Caenorhabditis elegans: one gene and its partner. The protein of the gene in region 2 interacts with the protein of the main gene of each other region in a pairwise test. Each region holds a gene or a part of one and is shown on either strand. Other genes may lie near its edges.

The links.
Region 1: the proteins of die-1 (region 2) and nhr-111 interact in a two-hybrid assay, tested with the Caenorhabditis elegans proteins (2 studies listed by BioGRID).

Annotation. Positions count from the first base shown.
Region 1 is NC_003283.11:16,122,362-16,126,647, reverse strand, and holds nhr-111 (Nuclear hormone receptor family member nhr-111), read left to right. Parts: upstream 1-1,808; 5' UTR 1,809-1,866; coding exon 1,867-1,918; intron 1,919-2,326; coding exon 2,327-2,437; intron 2,438-2,479; coding exon 2,480-2,650; intron 2,651-2,846; coding exon 2,847-2,986; intron 2,987-3,041; coding exon 3,042-3,131; intron 3,132-3,172; coding exon 3,173-3,344; intron 3,345-3,393; coding exon 3,394-3,593; 3' UTR 3,594-3,753; downstream 3,754-4,286. Other genes in the region: fbxa-143 (F-box domain-containing protein), read left to right, coding at 1-531, 579-785; skr-3 (Skp1-related protein), read right to left, coding at 4,175-4,286. UniProt on the Caenorhabditis elegans protein: Orphan nuclear receptor.
Region 2 is NC_003280.10:10,061,736-10,069,670, forward strand, and holds the start of die-1 (C2H2-type domain-containing protein), read right to left. Parts: upstream 6,183-7,935; coding exon 6,132-6,182; intron 5,432-6,131; exon of another isoform or gene 5,411-5,431; intron 4,249-5,410; exon of another isoform or gene 4,096-4,248; intron 2,768-4,095; coding exon 2,417-2,767; intron 2,071-2,416; coding exon 1,582-2,070; intron 1,518-1,581; coding exon 684-1,517; intron 638-683; coding exon 529-637; intron 477-528; coding exon 370-476; 3' UTR 1-369.

The DNA of each region.
Region 1 (4,286 bases), on a different chromosome or scaffold from region 2:
TCATTGCTCGTGGATAACATGGAAATCAAATATAGCAGCGTGGGACGTGATTGTGTCCTGAAGTATGGACAGAAGACAAAAACAATTATTGGTGCAAAATCTGTTGATGTGGCTTTCAATGACTTTGGAATTATCATGAAGAATCCGGCACTTCGCTTGGAAAAATTTCCGATTCAGCTTTCTGTTGATGTTGAGCAAACTGGGACTTATTTTTCAACTCTTCTTGATGTTTTGAAATCCTCCATGTCTTGCCTACACGTTAAAAAGTTTCATGGGACAGATTTCTCCGAGGAGCAGCTTCTATTAGTGATCCCTTTCCTAAAAGCTGGATATCTTGAAAAAATTGAGCTGCTTTCCAATGAGCCCACAGATCTCGAGAAAATCGCTAAACTTGAGCAATGGAAAAGAGCACAAGTTTTTGATTCGTTCTGGAAGAGTTATAAGGTTTCTGTCGAGGATATGCTCCATTTCAGAGAGTTCTATGTAATTGTACCTTGCTTTTCAAAAGAGGATGCAGTAAAACTGAGAGATGTAAGTTTAAATAAAAAATCGAAAAAAAATCCAAGTATTATTTTCAGTTGCTCACAAAATCAGTGGACTTCGAGAACGGGTGCTTCAAGTTCCCCGAAACCAACATTATCGAAATAGTGAGAGTTTTCATTCTGGACTACGAAGGAGAAGAACGGGCCAAAATTGATTATAACGAGAATGGCACAGATTTTATCTTGGACTTTAGCACAGAACACTTTCGATTGACAAAAAAGAAGATTGTGGACAGTGACTGAAATTAAATTTTAAAAAATATGATTTTTTTTAAAAGTTTTTGTATTGAATAAATTTGAGACAGACCGACGGCTCGAATTTCAGGTCAAAAGTAGAATTTTGCAGTTTGCATAATTTCAGTTTTTGATCACCCCATTCAGTAGGGAGCCATAAAAAATGGAATGATGATTAATATGCTCTTCTGAAAAATTAGACTTGTGTAAACACAGTGACGGATAACGACGTACGATTCGATAAAAAGGAATAGCTGCGGGAAATGGTGAGCACATGTGTAGGCTAGGAAGCAGTAGGCATTTTTTAGATGTGTTTGGTGCGGTTCAGTCAATTTTTTGCTGGGCTTTTGTGCTTCACATTGAGAGCGTTTTGATATTTTTGACTAGAAACTGAATGTGAGAAAATACTTGTTTCCGAGTATACTAGATGCTATACATAGGTTTTACAGTTTTATATCTTTATTGCATTTAACTGAAAATGACCAAAATCTGAAAAGTACGTAATTGGAAAATGTATGTCAAATTTCAGAATTTAATTAAATATACAACTGAATCGAAATCTGAATATTCTGAAATTTTCAATGAAGATCTCAGTTTTTTTTCCACCATCTTTTGCGCTAGGTTAGCTTAAAGACATTTTTCGTTTAAAATGAAAAAGTATTTAAATGAAAAATGACATATATTACGAAAATTTCCGCTTTCAGAAAATGTGATATCATATATTTCCAGCGGACAATTTCCGCATTTCTATGACTCAACAATTTATAGTCCAAATTTTATTTCAATTCGATCATTCCCTAGTGAATGTTTGCTTCTGATTGATTTCAACTTTAAATACACAAGTGATCTGAAGTATGGTATATCTGCAAAAAATTTTAGAGAGATTGCTGCTCAACTTTTGGCACCTTTTCTCTCGTTTCTCTAACTGTCACTTTATCCTTCTTGTACTAAGCCGGCTGCCTCCAACAGGTCAAGTGGGAGGAGTCGTGATTAGAAGTTGAGCAGTAACCAAATTATTTTTATGCTATTATTGTAGATACTGACAGGATATTCTCAACTTACTCAACGAGAGAATATTTAACAAAAAAAGATGAGCAGCCAAAATGCGAAGTCAATCGGTGGCATTTTGGAAACTTCAACAGGTATGCCCCAATTTATGGGATCGAAAAATTTTTTCATGCTTTAACTAGATAATTACTCAACTCACCGAAATGTATAAATGAAAGCATTTGGTAAAATATATCAGAAAATTTTTAGAAGTCGAAAACAAACTTGCAACGTTGTTTTCTAGATTTTGGAATTTTTTTGACATTTTCGAACAGATTGATAGCAATTTTTGTACTATACTTGTTGACATCTCAAAAATGTATTCTATGTTTCCATTATTTAGATCCCAGTTACGTTATAACCTGACAGAGGTTTGCGGGCGGTAAGTAGAAAAACCAGAAGCTTACAAAACTTGACCGCACTTATCAGCTTCTCAATTTACTTAGTTCAAAAGTTTTATGACAGAAGATTTACAATCTTTCACGCATATCTATAACTTTCAGTGCCTCTGGTCATCCAACCGCAGATTGTAAATGACCCCGCGCAAAACAACATAACTCTTCCAATCACGCTTTGTGCAGTTTGTGGGGACACTTCTAACGGAAATCATTACGGTTGGAAAGAAGATTTAGAAACTAGATAACAATGAATTTTAGGTGTGCCAACCTGTTTCGGATGCAGTGGGTTCTTCAGAAGAACCGTTAGAAACAAGTTGGTACATGGATGTTGGAATGGAGACGGAAACTGTGTGATTGATAAAGCGAACCGGAACAGGTGCAAGTCCTGTCGAATTAAAAAGTGCTTCAAGAAGGGGATGAATAAGAATGGTAAGCTGCTTCTCTGAGTTTGGGCTTCAGATCATTAACTTTGTGTTTGCACCATATAGTGCGGTAGGTATTTTTCAGTGGCCGACATTTTTTTGAGTTTCGCGCCGCACCATATTAACAAAGGCCTGAGGCCGGCAGAAGCCTCCTGAAGCCGGCGAAGGCGACACAGTTTCGTCTCTAAATAATTATTTTCCAGCTGTGCAACCCGAGAGAACTTCCCATAGCTACACTGTAGAGTATGTCGAGTTGCCCTCATTCCGAGAGTATTCCAAGGGACTTCTGCCTACTCACTCTGATCGTCTCAGATTCCAACACGAACATGCTCAACATGAAATTGTTAGTTAATCAGGAGACAAACTATCAACCTGAGACACCACAAATTTAATTTCAGGACACAAGCTCCGTGCTAGTTCATCTGAAAAACGCACTCCAGTGGGTGCAACAGTTTTCGCTCTTCGCAGTGCTTTCCGATGTTGAAAAGGTCTAAATGCCAAACATAAAAGTCATTAAAAAAATTTCCAGAGCCAGATCATACTGACCCAGTGGCCACATCTTTTGTGCCTCGCGTTGTTCGAAAACTCCGAAAAAATCTTCATCGATGAAAAATTTGCACAACTGGCTGAGAAATTCAAATCCCTCGAACTTTCGGCGCAGGATTATTTCCTCTTGAAGGGAATTATTATTTTCACGGAAAGTAAGTTTAACTAGAAAAGCTGCTGAGCTTTCAGAAACTAAAATTTCAGCCAAAGATGGCACTGATCTCAAATTCGATCGCCAACTTGATATCTGTATCGGCCTTCTCAATCAGTTGCACCTGGAGTCTTCAAAGTCCAAATCTGGAAGGCTTCTATTTCTCCTCGGCGAGCTTAAATCCTATTCTACTAGACAGCTTGAATCTCTCCTGGATCTTAAAGCTTGTGAGATTGTGATTAGTTTTCTTTAAATTTTGACTATTTTTCTGATGCTGTTATATGCACACATTACCCCCATTTTGCTCACTAGTAGTGCTCAGCTTAAGCTTAGACTTAGGCTTACGGTTAAGCTTAGGCTAAGGCTTAGGCCTTGGCATAGGTCCTGGCTTAGAGATTTTCATTTAATTTGCAACTGTTTCCTCAAAAACAATGTTCAAACCCAAATTTCTTTCCTATTTTTTCTCCAGATTCCCCCAAGGCAACCAAATTTTTTAAACAATTTTCTTCTCGATCAGTTGAAATACTTCCAAAAACGTTACAACGATTTTGAACAGTTTTTTTACAAGTCAAAACAGTAGTTGGCTGCAAATTTGGCCGCCAAAGTTTTTTTTTTTTGCAAATGGTAAATTCATACACAATGAACAAACTACACAATATACAGACGTTATACATTTATTTAAATTATATTTTTTGTTGGAAGCAATGTAAAGCGTACTTGACAGACAAAGTTTTTTTTTGTTTAAAATAATTTTTGATTTTGTTTTAAGTGACATAAAAGAGGTATGTAAACCGAATCAGATAAAGTTCAAGTTAATTATGTTTACCAGGGAGCTTAATCCTCGCACCAAGCGTTTTCCTTCTTCATGGCCTCCCGTTCCTCCTCGGAAAAATCGTTCTCAATGTTGAAGAGGGTTCGGATTTGGCTTGGAGTTTTACCCTTCATC
Region 2 (7,935 bases):
GCTTCAGAGTTTGCATTAAGTTGTAAATAGAAATTTTGGCTGAAGAGTTAGGACAAAAAATGTGGATAATATGTTTGGGCCCGTTGCTAACTGGGAGAATTTGGGGGGCTGTGATGAAAGAGGTTTCGGGGAGCGGAAGATGAGACAAAAAACAATTACATATTCACGTGTTTTAACATTCGGTAACGGAGATCAAGAACTGGGGCGAGTGGTGGTGGAAGATTACAAGGAGGATACGGACTTCAAAAGACGAGAAAGGCGGGGATTTTCATTTGGTTCCGGAACATTTGGTACCCATACAACAGATTGAGAAGAAAAAAGGTAGATACTATGATGGTGGGAGAGCATTTTTGAGGTAGTGGACCAAATCTAGCTGGTAGTCGGTGGAGCTGGATGGAGGTTGAACACCAGCTGACGTGGTCCATCGATCACTGATCGGACAGGCAGTTGAGCAAGGAACTCGGTGAGGAATTCACCTGAAAATGGAAAATTTGGTAAGGAAAAGCTCTAATTTAAAAGTCAACTTACCACTGTCATCATTGCACTTGATCAAAAAGCTCTGCGTTGGGAACGCCTTCTCTCCGATGTTCTTTCCAAATCCTTCTGGAATTGATCCTGAGGGAGAAATGCTTCCACTCTAAAAAAAAGTATGGTTGCTAAAATCATAAGATATGTCAACATACCGTATGAGAGTTTCTCTCATGATTTCCAGTTGCCTTCTCTTCTTCAATTTCTTTCTTTGTTCCATCATTCTTGAACGTAAGATTGAGAGCGGCTGCCGTTGAATCTCCGTCATATTGATTCTGATTCTGAACCACCATTTGAAGAGCTGCTTCAGTTGTCAGCTGCAGAGCAACATCCTCATCTTCATCGCCTCTTCCCTTCGCTTCACTCATTTTGATATGCCTCTCCATGTGCAAGTCAAGATTCTTTGGATCACGAGTCTTGTAACTACAGTCAGTACATTCGAGAAGATTTGAGCTCATCTTTTCCTCAGTTGATTGATTTCGTTGTCCGAGAATCGCCATCATTTGATTCAAATCTCCATTCGCTGCAGCAGCTCCAAAATGATCTTGAGCCATGTGCAACATCATCATTGATGGAGAAACTCTTTTATCGCACAATGCACATTTTTCTTCAGACATTGAGGCGGAATTCGGACCAGAGTTATTATTGGCTCCGTTTGGTGTTGTTGGAACAGATGATTTGTTTGGATTGTTACGTGGAGTTGACAATGGCAAGACTCCATGCACATCCTGACGATGTTGCCTGAGCTGATTACGAGTTTTGAACATAGTTCGGCAAGTGTCACATCGGAAAGTAAGCTCTCCTTCTCGCTCCTTGATGCTTGTGTCGATATTTGCAATAACTGTCTTGTTCTCATCAATCACAATTCCGTGCATTTTGAGCATATGTGTACGGAGGAAGTACTTGTTGCAAACTTCCTTGTTGCAAATATCACAGAAGTTTTTGTTGTTGGAAGAGTATTGACGTTTGACTCCACTTCCCTTGTTTGGCTGAAAATTTTGCATTTTAAAAAGGAAATTTCAATGTACCGATTGAAAAGAAACTGAAACTCACTGTGGACAAAGCTGACAATGGCTCAAAGTCTTGCATTCCAGCAAATTGTTGGTGGAGAGGAGACTGGAACATCAGTGGAATACCAGCTAATCCTTGTGGAAAGAGACCACTGAACATCATAGATTCATCTTTCATCTGCTTCTGATTCTGCTGATGAAGCGGGTTTGAAAGACCCATTTGAGCGAGAAGTGATTGCATGAGTTGATTATTTGAAGTTGGTGTCAATGGAGTTTCATCTCCAGTCCTCTGTTTCTTGGCTGATGGTTGCTGAGTGACATCATCATCATCTGTATTTGATTGAGAATTCGAATGCCCATTGACGATTACTGTAGATGGAGCTGAGTCAACTGAAGATGTCGTGCTAGCAGCACTACATTCCGTAGCTGTTGAGGTGGTCGGAAATACCATGGATGCCAGTGTTGAGTTCAGAGAAACAGCTGGTGGTGGGCTTGGAGAGGATTCTCGTTGTTCTTCTGGCTCCTGATCAACCTGAAATTGGCTTATTTCTTCAAGTGGCAAATTCAAATGGGGAATTTAAAAATTACAACTATTTTCGAATTTTGATAACGATAACAAGCGAAATCCAGCATTATCTGTCAAGATCCGTTTAGGAATAATTTAATAAATAGATTGGCTTCCACCTCTACTATTTATAGCTTTTTGAAAAGATGGGATCCAAAATAAAGAAAAAAACGTTGGATAATAAACGAAATAGAGAATTCTAAAATTGGTGCCCACTCAAATCTGCAAATACTCTCTCAAGTCTAAATCTTGGTACAAGATTTGAAAAATCTAGGTGCTAATCTGTTTGCATGAAGTCTGGCTGACAACTTACCGATTTAGCTTGTTGAGCAAATTGTGTTGCGAACTTCATCAAATCTGCATTTCCACTCATCAGCAGCTCGATAATATTCTTCTCGGCTCCGGAGTTGTTGTGTCCAGCGTCGGCGATGTTCGAGTCAGCCTGATTGCTCTGTTGCTGGAGAATCATCGACATCAATTGATTGTTGGCAAGGCCGTTTTGAATAAGTTGGCTCGGCATGAACATATCCTTCTCATCGGTCTCTGCCATGATGGAAGATGATGATGGAGCTCCGGAAGATGAAGTTGGGCTCGCAGATCCTCCAGAAGTAGCCATGACACAAGCACCTCCTTTATTCATCATATTGAATTGGTTGGCGCTTGACTGAAAAACAAAAACATGAAATATGAAAAATATGCAGACTATTTGCACTCGAAAATTTACAAATGTTGAAAATATTATAAAGACGAAAGATCGTGGGAGCTTAAAAGAAGCAATCTTGAATTGAAATTGTGTGTTTGGTTATCAAAGTAAAGTGGTTTCAATATAAAGGGATTAGGTATGCCAAACTGAGGTGAATTGAGAAAAATTTGAGAAAAATTGAGGCAAAAAACTCAAACTTCCACATGACTTTTTTCCCACACCCCGCTCATAGTCCGAAATTAGATTGAATATGTTGCCAAAAATTTCGATCAAAAAATTAGGAAAAAAAGTGCTCCATTTCCAAATGGGAAAAAGATGAAGAAAATCTACTGGAAGTTTTTAATATATTTTTTTTTTGGATTTATACATATTTTGAAATTTAATTCTGCGAAGGTGGAGGGATCATCCGTCTTGGAACAAGAGCAATGTTCTGTGCTCTTTTACGTTAAAGTTTACATGTAGGGAGAAGACAACTAGATCCATCAAAAAGTGTTATTTGACAAAAGATTTCAGATATGAAAAAGAAAAGAAGGAGTAAGGGGTCATTTGAAAGACAATAGAATTATGGATTAGATTGGAAGGAGGAGTACTGTAGTGAAGGGAGAAGGGATAGACTATTGTCTAATGAGGTGAGATTTCACACGAGATTACAAGCATCGTAGAAAAATAAGGGGGTAATTTGGACCATGCTCATTGAAATGTCAATTGACCAATTTTCAAAATCTCGAATTATCTAAGAAAAGTTTGCCAAATTTCTAATGGAACTAAATATTTGGGGAACCGATTTCTAGATCTAAAAGACTAGGTATCTTATCAGTAGTTATATTTGAAACACAGTTTATCAGTTCCAAAAACTATTGCGCAGTACCTAGGACCTTCTCAACTATCATAAAACTATATCGAAAGAGAACAGGGGAAAAAATGAAGAACAATTGATGGGACCGTCTGTCGGTCAACTGACCCGTTCCATGTCTCTTCAACAATAAATTCAATGCAACGTCGCGGGGAGAACGGGGGGGGGGGCAAATAAAATTAAAAACGGGGGAAGAGACTCAGACACGAAAAAACCAAAAAGGGAGAATATGAGTGGTCCCGTTGCGGGAGACCCTCCTCCCGTCTCTGTGTGTCTAATGCGAGATAGACGTAAAAAACGAAGGAGAAGAAGAGGAGACAACCCTGTATTTAGAGTGGACTTATAACTTCTAGAGAGTACACGTTTCGAGGAGACACAGAATGGGAAAAGGGTGGGGCTTCCCGGGAGGGATGTCTGAATGGTCCCTCCGAACGCGTCAAAAGGCTAACTAAACAAAAATTGAGTGGACAAAGAGTAAAGAAAAGGGGTCAAATGAACGAAGATTTGATCTAGTTTCTTGTTTGAACCTTTTTTGAAATACCTTAACTTCAAATTTTCTTAAAATAACTTTCAAACTCTCAAGAACAACAAAATCGAAACTACACGCATTATTGTATGAACACGAAATCGCCTTAACTTTTTTAGTCAAGAGAAATATGGATCTCCGAGCTTTTCTTGGTACTTATAATCGTGTTAGCACTTTTGAATCTATTAGATAAATTGAAAAACACTGAAAACTTTCTTCAAAATCTCGGAATTCTCAAAAACCCAAACAAGTAGGCGGAGCATATTCAAATTTCACCCGAAAAGAGGCTCCAGGCAGTGTCTCCTAGTGTCTCACTTTAATCGAGTAATCGTTTCCTGCGATTTTCGTTTCAAATATCCATCGGCAAGAAAAGGGACCTTGTCACATAGACAACCTTCCGTATTTTTACTAAAATTTTCCACTCTTTTCTATTTTCAATTGAAAAGGAGACGGAAAGAGCTCAGAAGCCGGGTAGAGGGAGATACTTCTCCAGCACCACAAGATTATTCAACTTTTATGAAACCGTGATGAATTATTCGCAAGGCGTGTGTGAACTCGAAGGAGCTCACCGGGAGGAAATTTAATGAATAAAGTCAATCTAGAATAGTCATGCTTGAATCTTGAATTCAAGTTCATTTCTACAAAGTTTCAGTTCCAAGTGATTCATTCAAAGCACATGAGAACTCCAACTAGTGCTTGAAAAGAAACTTCCAAGGAACGGAGATACAAAAATGTCAAAATCCAAGGCCAATCCTAAAATTCCATCAAAAAAACAATGTGAACCTTATCTATGGAAATTCATCAACGCCCTTGACCACCACTACATCATATTTATTTCGGATGGTCCAAACTCTTCTTTCTTCCCACACAACACTTTTACGATCAATTAACCCTTCACATCTGACATTGGAATCTGTTTCATATTTGCGCAACGGGCTAGATGGTTTTTCCCAAATTCCAAATTTACTAGAATTTGAGCAGATGTTCATCTTCGTCATTTGAATATGGGAATTCAAAGATTTGTTGGCTCATTGCCAAGTGGATTAGCGGTGGAGTGACAAAGGGAAGTGGTAAATCAATATTGGTTAGATACAGTAGTACGCACAATTTTTGAAAATTAAAAATTAAACATCTTAAAGGTTAATAATAAATTAATGGTGAGCCCAACACAAAAACAAACAGTTTCAAAAATTTTATAATATTCATTTTTGACATATCCTTTTGATCTGAGACTGAGTGATAAAATAGTATTGACAAAAATAGAGACCCCAAAGGTAGATCAAAAAAAATTTCTAGAACCAAAATATGTTCCCAAAATGGAACTTTACACAATATCTACTAGAACATAGTGGGATAACAAATAGAAAATTTCAGATCGAGTCTTGTGATTTTATCTAAATTTAGATTTGGCTAAAGGGGCAATAAGCTGATTATTTTGCATAAATAGTAGACAACGGGATGGATTATCGTAAATTCTTCTTTTTTAAGAATTCAAATCGCATGTTAGACAAATTCTTTTAATTTCTAAAGAAAAACTGAAAAAAATACTAGAAAAATTATAGACACAAATCAGAAGCTTAAAGAGGGCCAAGTCTTAGAAGTTTGAAAATATAAGTGGCGATAGAAAATATTTTAAAATAAATAAGATAATATTCAAAAATATATATAACAAATTTTTGGAGCTAGGTAATATCAAAGCCGAAAAACTTGAAAAAAGTAGACCTACAAATGGCTACTGTATTGTTCAAAATGACCAAAGTCTTGGCAATACAGGCTCAAAATGTATATAAGCAGGCTTAAAAACATTCAAAACTATGGCCCCCAAAAATTTGCAAAAATTTTTTAAACCAAAAGGTAGAAATTTGCAAACTTTTTCCGCTTCTAATTTTAGAAGTTGACTAAAAATGGCTCCTCTAGTGCAAATTCATAAAATCCAAGTTTCTTACCGGATCCATCGACATAAGCAACTGCTGCATATCGACCGCGTTGGCCATCATGTCCGAATGAAGATTCTCAACGATTTGTGAACAATTCCCAAAAGTCGAATCAACTGGCGTTTTCTGAAAAACAAGAAAAATTTAATAGATACTTTGAAATCTTCTCAGGTTTTAAATATGATAATATATACGAATTGTTGATGAAAAAAGTAAAAAATAAACCAAGTGTCTATGAGAATTCCCAAAAGAAGAAGGATGGATAGATGAACACAATTGTAGTTTCATTTAATTTTTTTTTCGAAATACTAAGAAAGAACCGAAAAACACAAAACACAGGTATTGCAGAAATCGAGCGCTTGTTTTCCAGTTTCCAGCGGCCGAAAAATATATAGGACTGAAAAAAAAGGCGAAATACTGAAAAAAAATAAAACTTGGTGCCTAAAGCTTTAACTAACTGATTTTCGAAATCTCAATAACATGTGCATATTGGTGGGGGGCAGCGCCTACTTGCACATAAATATAATATATATTAATTTCAATTCCAACCTCTTTCTCCCCCTTCTCTTGGCTGGCCCCTAATCGCGTTTGGCCGACTGCCAACACCTTTGGCTTTTCAATTTATATTTCCGCCAGTGATTTCGAAATTAAATCAAACGAAATTTTTTCTGCGTCGAGGTCTGGTCTGAGCTTTCGGCGGGAGAAGCAGGAAAAAGTGGAAAATTTCCATATTTTTCGATTTCAATTTCAATTTCAATTTCAATTTCAGCACACTGGTGCATGGCGGGCGAGTGAAATTGGCAGGTGTATATAACAATTCACAAGATTCTTTTTTTAATATTTCAACGAATTGAATGTCTGGGGAATATCAAAAATAGGGTAAACAACTATTAATGTGAAGCTTTCAAAATGAAAATTTGAAATTCTATAATTATATGACACTGATATGAAATCAGAGTCATTTTCTTAAAACGAACTAATTCAAAAATTATCATTTACGTTTAATCTCTCACAATATATGAAAATCTTCACCTGCCTCCTAAAATAATATATTTTTAAGTTTCAAGGTTCAGAAAGTTGTCTGGGGCTTTGAAATCGTTATGAAAGCTAATTGAAATCTAGAAGTTTCGACTTCAAGGTTTTGACATAATAAAAAAGAGAGAGAAACATGAAAACGAGTTTAAATTAGGTCAGAAATGTTGAAATTCGGCAGGAAAAAGTGATACATAAGGGAAGTTGCCTGCAGTTTCAGGTTGAAGATTTATAATAGATCAAAAAAAAGTTGGCGGTTGGGTAGTTTTTGGAGAACCCAAAAAAACATGCAAGTCTAAGTAGTGTAGTCGGGTAATTTGTAAAATTACCCGACTACACTACTAGTCTAGAATTACAAGGATTTTTTCTAAGTTGTTGGTGGATCTCTAAAAAAGTATTTCATGAAGTAAGACATAATGATGCCTGCCAGTGTGCCTTGCAGGCGTAAAGTCAGGTATGCTTGCAGGTATGAAAACTTTGTTGGTTTTTGGGTACCCCGCTTTCAGAGTATTCAGCTCAAAATCTGCAACTCCGACCCTAAAAAGGAAGTAAATCAGGAAAAGTATCTTAACATCAATGTTCCACATCCGGGGCAAAAAAGTGAAGTGGTGTTGAAAACTGGTTGTCATGCGGTCTATCGGAGCAATTCGATTCGATTTCAAGCCCCACCCTTAACGAATTCAAGTCTCTCACTTATTTCTCCACTAATTCGAAAAGTAATTCAAATCAAGTGACACCGCGGGGCTATGAGTGAGTCTGACATGAAATTCGTATTTCGCCTTGC